Caenorhabditis elegans: one gene and its partner. The protein of the gene in region 1 purifies or fractionates together with the protein of each later gene. This does not show direct contact. Each region holds a gene or a part of one and is shown on either strand. Other genes may lie near its edges. The genes, in order: Y25C1A.8 and ssb-1.

The links.
Region 2: the proteins of Y25C1A.8 (region 1) and ssb-1 fractionate together in Caenorhabditis elegans (co-fractionation; one large-scale study listed by BioGRID). This does not show direct contact.

The regions. Positions count from the first base shown.
Region 1 is NC_003280.10:3,070,924-3,078,828, reverse strand, and holds Y25C1A.8 (Zinc finger Ran-binding domain-containing protein 2), read left to right. Parts: upstream 1-1,875; 5' UTR 1,876-1,882; coding exon 1,883-2,015; intron 2,016-2,061; coding exon 2,062-2,161; intron 2,162-2,920; coding exon 2,921-3,107; intron 3,108-4,199; coding exon 4,200-4,468; intron 4,469-5,727; coding exon 5,728-5,949; intron 5,950-6,433; exon of another isoform or gene 6,434-6,484; intron 6,485-7,227; coding exon 7,228-7,354; 3' UTR 7,355-7,645; downstream 7,646-7,905. Other genes in the region: copb-1 (Coatomer subunit beta), read right to left, coding at 1-23; Y25C1A.7 (Yip1 domain-containing protein), read left to right, coding at 7,792-7,810.
Region 2 is NC_003279.8:4,632,276-4,636,347, forward strand, and holds ssb-1 (Lupus La protein), read left to right. Parts: upstream 1-1,827; 5' UTR 1,828-1,834; coding exon 1,835-1,967; intron 1,968-2,014; coding exon 2,015-2,223; intron 2,224-2,278; coding exon 2,279-3,127; 3' UTR 3,128-3,340; downstream 3,341-4,072. Other genes in the region: ubr-4 (UBR-type domain-containing protein), read right to left, coding at 321-837, 955-1,072; acbp-1 (Acyl-CoA-binding protein homolog 1), read right to left, coding at 3,540-3,788, 4,055-4,066.

The DNA of each region.
Region 1 (7,905 bases):
CATGGTTGCTCTCCGGAGCTCATTGTGGAGGAGCTGGAAATTCGGGTTTTTTGTGGGGAAAAGAAAGAAAAAAGTAGAGAAAGTTCACGTTTTAAAAAAAAATTTGTGAAAAAATTGAATTTTCCAGCTAAATCGCATTTTTCTGTGAAAAATCATCGAAAATCATCGAAAAACGCCAGAAAATGAATAAAAATCGTCAAAATACGCTGGAAAACCCCCGAAAATCGCCTTTAAGCATGAAAAATGCCCAAAAACGTCAGAAAATGGATAAAAATCATCAAAAAACGCTGTAAATGACAAGAAAATCACTCTGAAGCATGAAAAATGCTCAAAAACATCAGAAAAATCAAAAACATCAGAAAAATTGAATTTTTGACCATTTTTAACCCTAAAACTCTTCGAAATCCAGCTGAAAACCCGATTTTTTAGTCAAAAATTCCGTTTTTTGGCGTAAAAATCGGAAAATCCCGGCTTTTAACCTAAAAATTAGGTGTTTACTGAAAATTTCCAAATTTTCGGCTAACAATCCCCATTTTCAATCGATTTTTTCCATTTTTCACTGAAAAAATCAATTTTTTAGCTTAAAAATCGAAAAATATCGGTTTTTAAGCTAAAAAATCAGATTTTTACTGAAAATTTCCAAATTTTCGGCTAAAAATCCCCATTTTCAATCGATTTTTTCCATTTTTCACTGAAAAAATCAATTTTTTAGCTTAAAAATCGAAAAATATCGGTTTTTAAGCTAAAAAAATCAGATTTTTACTGAAAATTTCCAAATTTTCGGCTAAAAATCCCCATTTTCAATCGATTTTTTCCATTTTTTCAGTAAAAAATGCCAAATTTTTTACTAAAAATGCAAATTTTCTGACTGTTCTTGTAAAAAAATTGAAAAAATTCAATTTTTTGGACAATTGTATGCAAAATTCGCCTTTCCCTCGGTTTTTTTTTGTGGTAAAACCCCGCGAAAATTCGCTTTTTTTGCCTTAAAACTTAATTTTTAATGGAAAAAAAAACGCGAAAAGTTGCAAAAATCCACAAAAAATGCGATTTTTGTTAGTTTTAGCTGAAAAAAATTGCATTTTTCAGCTAGAAATCTGAAAAATCACACAAATTGTTGCTAATAATGCAATTTTTGCCAGTTTTGGCTGAAAAAATTGCATTTTTCAGAAAAAAATACTGAGAAAACCACCAAAATTCTGCTGATAATGGGATTTTTTGTCGTTTTTGCCTGAAAAAATCGCATTTTTCAGCAAAAACTGTAACTTTTTCTGCAAAAAACACAGAAAATCGAATTTCTAATGGAAAAAAATCGCAAAAATCCACAGAAAACTACGGAAAAAGTTGCGAAACTTGATTTTTCACAAAATTCTCTCATTTCGCCTGGTTTTTATTGATTTTTTGACAGAAATCTAGGCTTTAAAGCTGTAAAACCCAATTTTCAACGACAAATTGATTTAAATTGACCTAATTCAACGCCACGTCACTTTTCACTCTTTCTACCTGTTTTTTATCGATTTTTGCCGCTTTTTCGACTGAAATATAGCTTTAAAAGCTTCAAAAATCAATTTTTAACCTCAAAAACCCACGAAAAAACGAAAAAATCCGCTGAAAACCGGCAAAAATCCACGTAAATCGCCGGAAAAAGATTGGAATCTAGATTTCTCGCACAGTGACGTGGTTCTCGCCATCCACCGTACCCCGTGACACAGCGGCGGGCAAATCGTGGCGAGACCCGGCCGCATTTTGAAATGTGATAATTTACACGGAAATCGACACAAAAAGCTTAAGTTCTCTCGGTTTTTCGTGTTTTTTTCACGAATTCCTAGTGATTTTTTATTTTTTATTCAAAAAAACGCAATAAAAACCCGATTTCAGTCAGTAAATGTCGTCGAAATACGACGATGATCGAGAACAAAAGCGTCGAGCGCTGAAAGACGGTGAATGGGCGTGTGTCGACTCGAAATGTGCCAAAGTAAACGAAGAATCACTTCTTGTATGTGATGAATATGGAAAACGTGAGGTTTTCGACGATTTTTCACCCCAAAAATTATCGATTTTCAGCGAAACCGCGCGCGAAAAGCAAAATTGGCAAGGAGCTGGGCAAGGAGCAGGCGGAAAAATCGAAAGGACTATTTGCAGCTGAAGATTGGGTTTGTTCAAAGTAAGATTTTGATTTTTACCGAAAAATTGGAAATTTTCAGTAAAAACCTAGTTTTTAAGCTAAAAAACCGGGATTTTTGCCTGAAAAAATTGAAAAAAAGATTAAAAATTGGAAATTTTCAGTAAAAATCTATTTTTTAAGCTTAAAAACTGGGATTTTTCGATTTTTAAGCTAAAAAATTGGCATTTTTGCCTGAAAAAGTTGAAAAAATCGGAAAAAAATGCAGATTTTTTGCTGAAAAATTGAAAATTTTCAGTAAAAATCTGTTTTTTTAGCATAAAAACTGGGATTTTTCGATTTTTAAGCTAAAAATCAAAATTTTCGCTTGAAAATATTGAAAAAATTGATAGAAAATGCAGATTTCTAGCCCAAAAATTGAAAACTTTCAGTAAAAATCTAGTTTTTACGCTTAAAAACCGAGATTTTTCGATTTTTCAGCAAAAAAATTGGCATTTTTGCCTGAAAAAATTGAAAAACTCGATTAAAAATGCAGATTTTTAACCGAAAAAGTTGGAAATTTTCAGTAAAAATCTATTTTTTAAGCTTAAAAACTGGGATTTTTCGATTTTTAAGCTAAAAAATCGGATTTTTTGCCTGAAAAAATTGAAAAACTCGATTGAAAATGCAGATTTTAGCAGAAAAATTTGGAAATTTTCAGTAAAAACCTAGCTTTTTAAGCATAAAAACCGAGATTTTTTGATTTTTAAGCTAAAAAATCGGAATTTTTGCCTGAAAAAATTGAAAAAACCCAATTTCCAGGTGCGGAAACGTTAACTGGGCTCGCCGACGGACGTGTAACGTGTGTAATGCTCCAAAATTGGCGGATTTGGAGCGTAGAACAGGCTATGGAGGTGGATATAATGATCGGCAGAACGTTGAATACGTAAAACGCGATTATGATGAGGAATTCGACGAGTTTGGGCGGAAAAAGAAGAAAAAGGGTGAGGTTCGTGCGGAAATCGGATGGAAATCGGGCGAAAAAACACGAAAAACGGCCCAGAAACGTCAGAAAATGGATAAAAATCATCAAAAAGCCCCGGAAAATGCTCAAAAAAAACCTGAAAATGGATAAAAATCATCGAAAAACGCCAGAAAATGAATAAAAATCGTCAAAATACGCTGGAAATGACCAGAAAATCACTCTGAAGCATGAAAAATGCTCAAAAACATCAGAAAAATTGAATTTTTGACCATTTTTAACCCTAAAACTCTTCAAAATCCAGTTGAAACCCCGAATTTTCAGTCAAAAATTCCGTTTTTTTGGCGTAAAAATCGGAAAATCCCGGTTTTTAACCTAAAAAATTAGGTTTTTACTGAAAATTTCCAATTTTTGGGCTAAAAATCTCCATTTTCAATCGATTTTTTCGATTTTTTTCCAGTAAAAAATGCCAATTTTTAGCTTAAAAATCGAAAAATTCCGGTTTTTAGGCTAAAAAATCCAAAATTTCAGCTAAAAAATGCATTTTCTATCGATTTTTTTCCATTTTTCACTGAAAAAATCAATTTTTTAGCTTAAAAATCGAAAAATTCCGGTTTTTAGGCTAAAAAAATCCAAAATTTCAGCTAAAAATGCATTTTCTATCGATTTTTTTCCATTTTTCACTCAAAAATCGAAAAATATCGGTTTTTTAAGCTAAAAAATCAGATTTTTACTGAAAATTCTCAATTTTTGGGCTAAAAATCTGCATTTTTTTCTCGATTTTTTCAATTTTTTTTGCACTAAAAAGTCCGATTTTTTAGCTTAAAAATCAGATTTTTACTGAAAATTTTTGAATTTTTGGTAAAAATCTCCATTTTCTATCGATTTTCTCCAATTTTTGACAGTTTTCAGCCGAAAAATCGAAAAAAATACTACAAAAATTTCGATTTTAATCCTAAACCCTGTTTTTCAGTCAAAAAACTTGGAATTTAGCAGATTTTTTTTGCTTAAAAATCGAAAAATTCTCAATTTTTCGGTTAAAAATCCAAAATTTCAGCTAAAAATCACCATTTTCTATCGATTTTTACCAATTTTTCACTAAAAAATTCAACTTTTCAGGATCAATTTCGAGATATGGAGGAAGGAGAAGCTTCGGATGATGAAGAAATTGCTGTAAAAGATGATTTGAAAAAACGGACTCCACGTGGAGAAGATGAAGCCGACGAAGACGATGAAGCCGATGAAGATGAAGATGAGGATGGAGAAGATCTTGGAAAATATAATTTCGATTTTGATTCCGATCCGGAATTAGTGGAAAAAGTCGAGAATTTGAAGAGCAAAATTGTGGCGGTGGCGGCAGCTGGCTCGGAAGCCTGTGATGACAGCGAGTTAGTGCGAAAAATGAGGAAAAATGGATGAAAATTGACGAAAATTGGCGAAAAAATGAGGAAAATCGCTAAAATTCGCCAAAACTTGACTGAAATTGGCGAAAAATCGCTAAAAATTGAGAAAAATTGACCGAAAATTGAGGAAATTGACGTTTTTTTACCAGAAAAATTGAATTTTTTCGCTGAAACGTTGCTAAAATCGAAAAAATGACCCGCTTTGTAGCGGAAAATCAATTTTAAATTGACTAAAAATTGAATAATTCAGCTTAAAATTTAGAAAATTTGCATCAAAACAACCTAAAACCATACTTATTCTCTGAAAATCCCTCCTTAAATTCGCTGAAAAACTCGAAAATTTGCCCGAAAACTGGCTGAAAAGGCTGAAAATTGTGTACATTTTTATAATTCTACCTGGAAAAATGCTTAAAAATCACAGAAAATTGAATTTTTCGACTAAAAACGTCTAAATTTCAGAGAAAAATCAAGTTTTCATCGGGAAAATGCTAAAAATTTGATGAAAATATCGATGTTCTTCCTCAAAAAATTGAAAAAATCACTTTTTCTCCGCGAAAAAGGTGAAAATTGCTCAAAATCCATCAATTTTTCGATTTTCTACCTTAAAAAATACAGAAAAATCACTTTTTCAGTGGGAAAATACCAAACTTTTCCTGAAAATATCGATTTTCGTACTTAAAATTGCTCAATTTTCACATTTTCTGCCTCAAAAACTACAGAAAAATCATTTTTTCCTACTGAAAATCCCAAAAATTCACTGAAAATGCCGTTTTTAGTGCTCAAAATTGCTCAATTTTCACATTTTCTACCTCAAAAATTACAGAAAAATCACTTTTTCTCGGCGAAAAAGCTGAAAATTGCTGAAAATTGGCTCAATTTTCATATTCTCTACCTAAAAAAGCAATGAAATCACGCGAAAATGCCAAAAAATTCACTGAAAATATCGATTTTCGGACTTAAAATTGATCAATTTTAATATTTTTTAACTGAAAAAGTTAAGAAAAGTCGGTTTTTCGCTGCGAAAAAGCTGAAAAATGCTCACAATTCATGAATTTTGCGGTTTTTTTGCCTCAAAAAGTTGAGAAAAATTAATTTTTCAGTAGGAAAATGCCAAAAATTCACTGAAAATGCGGTTTTTAGTGCTCAAAATTGCTCAATTTTCACATTTTCTGCCTCAAAAACTTCAGAAAAATCACTTTTTCCTACAGAAAATCCCAAAAAAAAAACCAATCTAAAATTTTCAGATGCTCATGCTCATGCTCGGGCGGTGAATGCTCTTGCCCAGAAAGTGAAGATGAAAAGGAAAAAGATCGTCGAAAAATGCACAAAACATCACGAGAAAGGGATCGTGAAAGCCATCGGAAACGGAGCAACTCACCGAGAGATCGTGATAGAAAGAGAGGAAAAAGAAGTCGGAGTAGAAGCCGAGAAAGAAGTTATCGGGATGATCGGAGAGATCGCAAGAGGTGCGGAAATTTGCTGAAAATTGGCTGAAAAATCGCTGGAAATTCGTCGAAAATTACCCGAAAATTCACCGAAAATTGCCTAAAATTCGCTGAAAAATGGATGAAAATTCTCTAAAAAATGGCCTAAATTGGCTGGAAAATCGCTGAAAATTCGCCAAAAAATTACTTAAAAATGGCCGAATTTCGCTGAAAATTCGTCGAAATTGAATGAAATAAGAACTCCCTGAAAAATGGCTGAAAATTCGCCAAAAATTCGCCGAAAATTCCCCGAAAATTCGCCGAAAATTCCTCGAAAATTCGTCGAAAATTCCCCGAAAATTCGCTGAAAATTCACCGAAAATTGCCTAAAATTCGCTGAAAAATGGATGAAAATTCCCTGAAAATTTCCTGAGAATCCTTTGAAAATTCCCTAAAAATTCGCTAAAATACGCCAAAAATTCGCCGAAAATTCCCTGAAAATTTCCTGAAAATTCTTTGAAAATTCCCTAAAAATTCGCTAAAATACGCTGAAAATTCGCCAAAAAATGGCAGAAAATTGCCGAAAATTCGATGAAAATTCGTTGAAAAATCATTTAAATACGCCAAAAATTCGTTGAAAATTCGCTAAATTTAGCAGAAAATTCCCTGAAAATTCGTCGAAATTGTGCCTAAAAATGGAAGAAATTTGCTGAATATTGGCCGAAAATTGGCTGAAAATCGCCAGAAAATTAAAAAAAAATTTGCCAGTTTTTTGCTGTAAAATCAGATTTTTCGAGCTCAAAAATGCGAATTTTCATGAATTTTTTGCCATTTTTCCTGTAAGAAACCTTCGAAAATTGTGTAAATTTGCTAGAAATCAACGAAAAAAGTACAAAATAACTGCCGGAATTTTAAATTTTCAGCTCAAAATGTGAATTTTCTGAGAGTTTTTTAAAATTTTTTGAAGCGAAACCCTCGAAAATCGTGCAAATTTCCTAAAAAATCGACGAAAAAATACAAAAAAACTGCCGGAAAATCGATAAATTTGCCAAATTTTCGCTGAAAATTGCTCTAAAATTGGAATTTCGAGGTCAAAATGCGATTTTTCTTGAATTTTTCCAAATTTTCTCGGAAAAAACCGTCGAAAATCGTGCAAATTTCCTAAAAAATCGACGAAAAAATACAAAAAACTGCCGGAAAATCGATAAATTTGCCAAATTTTTGCTCAAAATTGCTTTAAAATGGGATTTTTAAGCTTAAAAATCGATTTTTTCCGCACTTTTCCCCGTTTCCAGCCAAAATTCCCCATTTTTTTTGCAGATCTCGTTCTCGCGAACGCCGCCGTTCCCCGCCACGTGGCACCACCAGTGATAGACGCCGAGACGACGAGAGACGCAGAGAAAAAGAGCGACGAAGAAGCCGATCGAGAGACAGATTTCGACGATAAAAACGCTAAATTTCGCCGTTTTTTCGCCATTTTTTCACAATTTTATTGATTTTTTCGCTCTAAAACCACCAGTTTTTCCGTTAAAAATTGCTAGTTTTTACCCAATTTTTCCATTATTTTATTGATTTTTTGCTTGAAAATTCTCCGTTTTTAACCGTTTTTTTTCCACTATTTTATTAATTTTTGTTGCTCAAAATCCCGATTTTTTCTCCGTTTTCTCTTGAAAAATCATCTCAAAATATCGAATTTCTCACGGTTTTTATCATATTTTTGTGAAAAATTTTTGAATTTTCTCTGTAATTTTATTGATTTTTCGCATTTTTCTGACTTTTTCCACACGGTTTCTAGCCGATTTTTATCTATTTTTACCTATTTTTTCTCGAAATTTTACAATTTTTAATATAATTTCTAGAAACCCAACAACGTGACAGCCCGAAATGGATTTAAACTTTCAAAGTGAGTTGGCAAAATTTTTTAAACAAAAAAATACAGTAGAAAATTGCGAAAAAAAATTTATTTTTCGATTTTAACAATGGCTCAACCAGCGCCGC
Region 2 (4,072 bases), on another chromosome or scaffold:
CATTTTCAAGCATTTTTCTTCGTTTTTTAAAATAAAAGAATGCATTTGAAGTTGAAAAGTGAATAAGAATTTTTTAATTTGTTTATGAATTTCATTTCATCAACTTTGGCATAAAATTCATTAAAACGACGGAAAACTAAACAAAAAAAGACAAAAAGTGCTTGAAAATTGGTGAAACTAGTCAGAAATGTTTGAATTTTCGGTTTTGCCACCAAATACCTAACAAGATCAATAAAACTTGATGTACTTATTATTGTTGAAAACTTTCGGGGGCTTTAATTAATTTTTTTAATTTTTTCTTAAAATTTAAACTTCCATACTTCAAAATTCTCGCCAACGCTGCATAGTACAATTCGTTCGCGAATGTTTCATGATCCTTCATCTCGGAGAATAAATCAAAAATGCTCTTCTCAATAAGACCAGCCGCTTGTTTCGCCGAGTCTGGGCTTGAATCGATTTTCACAGAATCCCACTCCTGATTCATCATTTTACGCGCTGTTTCTTCAAGATCAGTGTTCCAAATAGCTGAGAAAAGTCGACGAGTCAATCCGAATTCAAGAGCGAATCCCTTGCAAATTGATGTGATCTGTTCGGAACATTTTGTAGAAGATGCAGTAATGGAATCCATATGCACAAAATTAGAAGAAGTCGAAGAAAACTTGGAAATATCGATTGATTCCATCATGATTCGCCATTGTGGTTCAATTGCACCTTCGGTTATAGATGTCATTATAGGCATCCAAACATCCGGAGAAAATGTTATTGGAGGTAGATTTACAAGTTTTTTGATTAAAATTCGCATTGCTTCGCAGATAATGTCGACATCGCTGCTTACATCTGGAAAAATAATAGATTCAGAACGGATCAGGGTTTTTTTTGTTGGAAAAAAAAGGATTTTTTTGGTGTTTTCCACCCAAAAAAGCATGTAAATAAAATCATTCTAGAATTCCTTACAATTTTCAACAACCCGTAGTCTGTAAATAATTGCTGCAATCGATTCTCCGTCGAAATCCTTTGCCGCATTTTCGGTGACATATCGGACAAGTCCGATTGCCGTTTCACGCGGATCCATTAATCGAAATTTCAATTAATTTTGTATTTTCTGGAAATAATTGATTAGAAAATCGATATAATATTTCAACAAAGCAAGATGTATTGCGTTAACTTTCGCAATCACGAGGCAATATAAATAAACAAAAAAGAAATACAGAGGTTTTCTTTGTTTTACAAAGTTTTATCAGCTGAAACTTTTGTTTCTCGAAATTTTCGTTATTTTATTATTATTTTTAATCGAAAATTCATCAAAATTTCCCATCTCAACAGAGGAAAAACAGAAGAACAACAAAAAAACGAACAAAAATAATAAATAACAAGTGGGCGGAGCATCAATTGCGTGCGCCGTTTTTGCATAAAGTGTGTGCCAGGGTTGCAAAAAATCATTTTCGAAACTTCAAACTCATTGCACACATTTTTTATATTTTCTTTTTATCGGTCGCTGTTATTCCTTTATTTTTTTACATTTTTTAAAAGAAAATCAAATTAAAATTAACATTTAATATTTAAATAATCAACTTTTGGAAAATATACTTCGAGAAAATCTCAAATTCCCTAGTTTTTAGGCGTTCTAGGCCTAATTTCACCTAGTTTGATTATGTTCAGTTTAATTATCGAGCAATCAACTTCAGGAATTAGAAAACACGTTAAATGAGTTTTCGCATTACTGAAAGTCGAAGTTTGAAGTAAGATTTGTTCCAAAATGTTACATGCCTTGTTTCTTCTGTTTCGTTTTCGTTTCTGTTGTATTCTCTGTTAATTTGTATTATTCAGCAAGAAAATGGGTGAGACCGCTGCCGCCGTTCACGACGATGCTGATCAGAAGATCATTAAGCAATTGGAGTATTACTTCGGAAACATCAATCTTCCAAGAGACAAGTTCCTCCAGGAAAAACTCAAGGAAGACGATGGATGTAAGTTGTTTTTCTTCAATTCTAAGATTGTTGATTTTTCATTTCAGGGGTCCCAATTACCACGATGCTCAATTTCAACCGCCTAGCCTCGATCAGCAAGGACACTGAAAAGATTGCCAACGCTGTCAAGAACTCTGGTTCGGGAATAATCAGCGTCTCCGAAGACAACCAGAAAATCCGCAGAAACGAAGAGAATCCAGTACCGGAGAACTCGTTGGAGTACTGGCAAAAAATCAAGCACAGAACTGTGTATATGGTACGTTTGTATCTTTCTGATTTTGTCTTTACATTATCAATTTCTCATTTTTCAGAAAGGATTCAGCACTGACACCCAATTGGACGACATTATTCAATGGGCCAATCAATTCGGAGAAACCGAGAACGTTCTTATGCGTCGCTTGAAGCCAGGAGACAGAACCTTCAAAGGAAGTGTGTTCATCACTTACAAAACTAGAGAGGAGGCCGAAGCCGCACAAAAGGCTGAAGTTAAGTTCGGAGAGACAGAGTTGACCAAGATGATGCAAGATGAGTATTGGACTCTGAAGAACAAAGAAACCAAGGAAGCTCGTGCTGCAAACAAGGCTGCCAAATCAGCTAAGAATACTTCTGAAGCGATTGAATCAGAAAAGGCTCAGCACGCTGTCCGTTACGAGAAAGGTCTCATTCTGGCCGTTGATGGACTTGGACCTGATTCAACTATTGACAGCATCAAGACTTTCTTCAAATTGCACGGATCTGTTGGATACGTTGCACATGAAAATGGAGGCAAAACAGCCGAAATCCGCTTCAACAATGACAGCGAAGGAGCGCAGAAGGCCTGGGACAACGCTGTTGCAGCTGGAACTGATGGAAAAGTCATTCTTCAAGAGGCTGAGCTCTCCGCACGAGTTTTGGATGGAGAAGAGGAGGAGAAATACTGGACAGAGTTCAATGCCAGAAAGAATCAGAGGCAAGGAGGTGGACGTGGAGGACGCGGTGGTCGTGGCGGACGAGGAGGCCGCGGTGGTCGTGGAGGTCGTGGTGGAAGAGGTGGACGCGGAGACCGCCGAGGTGATAAGCGGTCAGCAAACGATGAAGGTGCAGATGGATCTGATGAGCCAAAGGCTAAGCGTACTGTGTTCGCTGAGGATGGTGCTCCAGCTGCTGCTGCCGCCGAGTAATTTCATCTTTTGTTGAACAAACCCAAAAATCTCATTCTTTTTTTTTTACTTTTTCCTCCATTTTTTGTTGTTATCATTATTGTTGTGTTGTCCCCCCATTCATTAATCTTGAATACCCTCATTTTGTTGACTTCTCACTCTTTTTAACATCTCTTTTACTGTATTATTACCAATTTAAAAGAGTTGCGGTTTTGATTTATAAATTATTCGGATAAACCAAAGTTTTAGAGTAGCAGACCGGAAAAAAAGAAATTGCAGATCACTCGGAACAGGGAACATGGAAAATGCATTCTTCTGAAAGTTCAAGTTTGCTGATCAAATAGGCAACTTTATGTCTAAATTCTTCGGAATCACAGAATCTTCATTACAAAAATATAAATGTTAAAAAAACGTATTATCAAACAGAATTTATTTAGGCTCCGTACTTGGCGATGAGCTCCTCAACAAGAGCAACATAGGCCTTCTGAGCATCATCCTTTGCGAGTCCCTTCTTCTCATCCCAGGCAGACCACTTGGCTTTTCCCTTCAAATCGAACATTCCTGGCTTATCGGTGGTGTTGTCGCCGACGGTTCCTTGTTTGAACAGAGCATAGAGCTTGAGAAGCTCATCATTCGATGGGGAAGTCTTGAGGGTCTTAACGGTGGCAGCAGCGTCGTCGAACTGAAAATTGAAAAGACTTAGTGAGATTTTATTGGGAAAATATCAACATTTTGCTTCAAAAAATCTAAAGTAGTCTCAAATTCAGAAAAAAATCGCCAAATTATAAAAATGTCTCTTTTTCAATTTTGACTAAGTTCCCTCCGCTATTTTGAAGGGAATTTGCCAACATTGAAAAATCACGGTTTTACAATTATTGCTTTCTGTTGTTGTCATTATTCTGAATTTGAGATTATTTTGGATTTTCTACATCGGAATTTGAAGCTTACCGAGAGGGTCATTTTGAA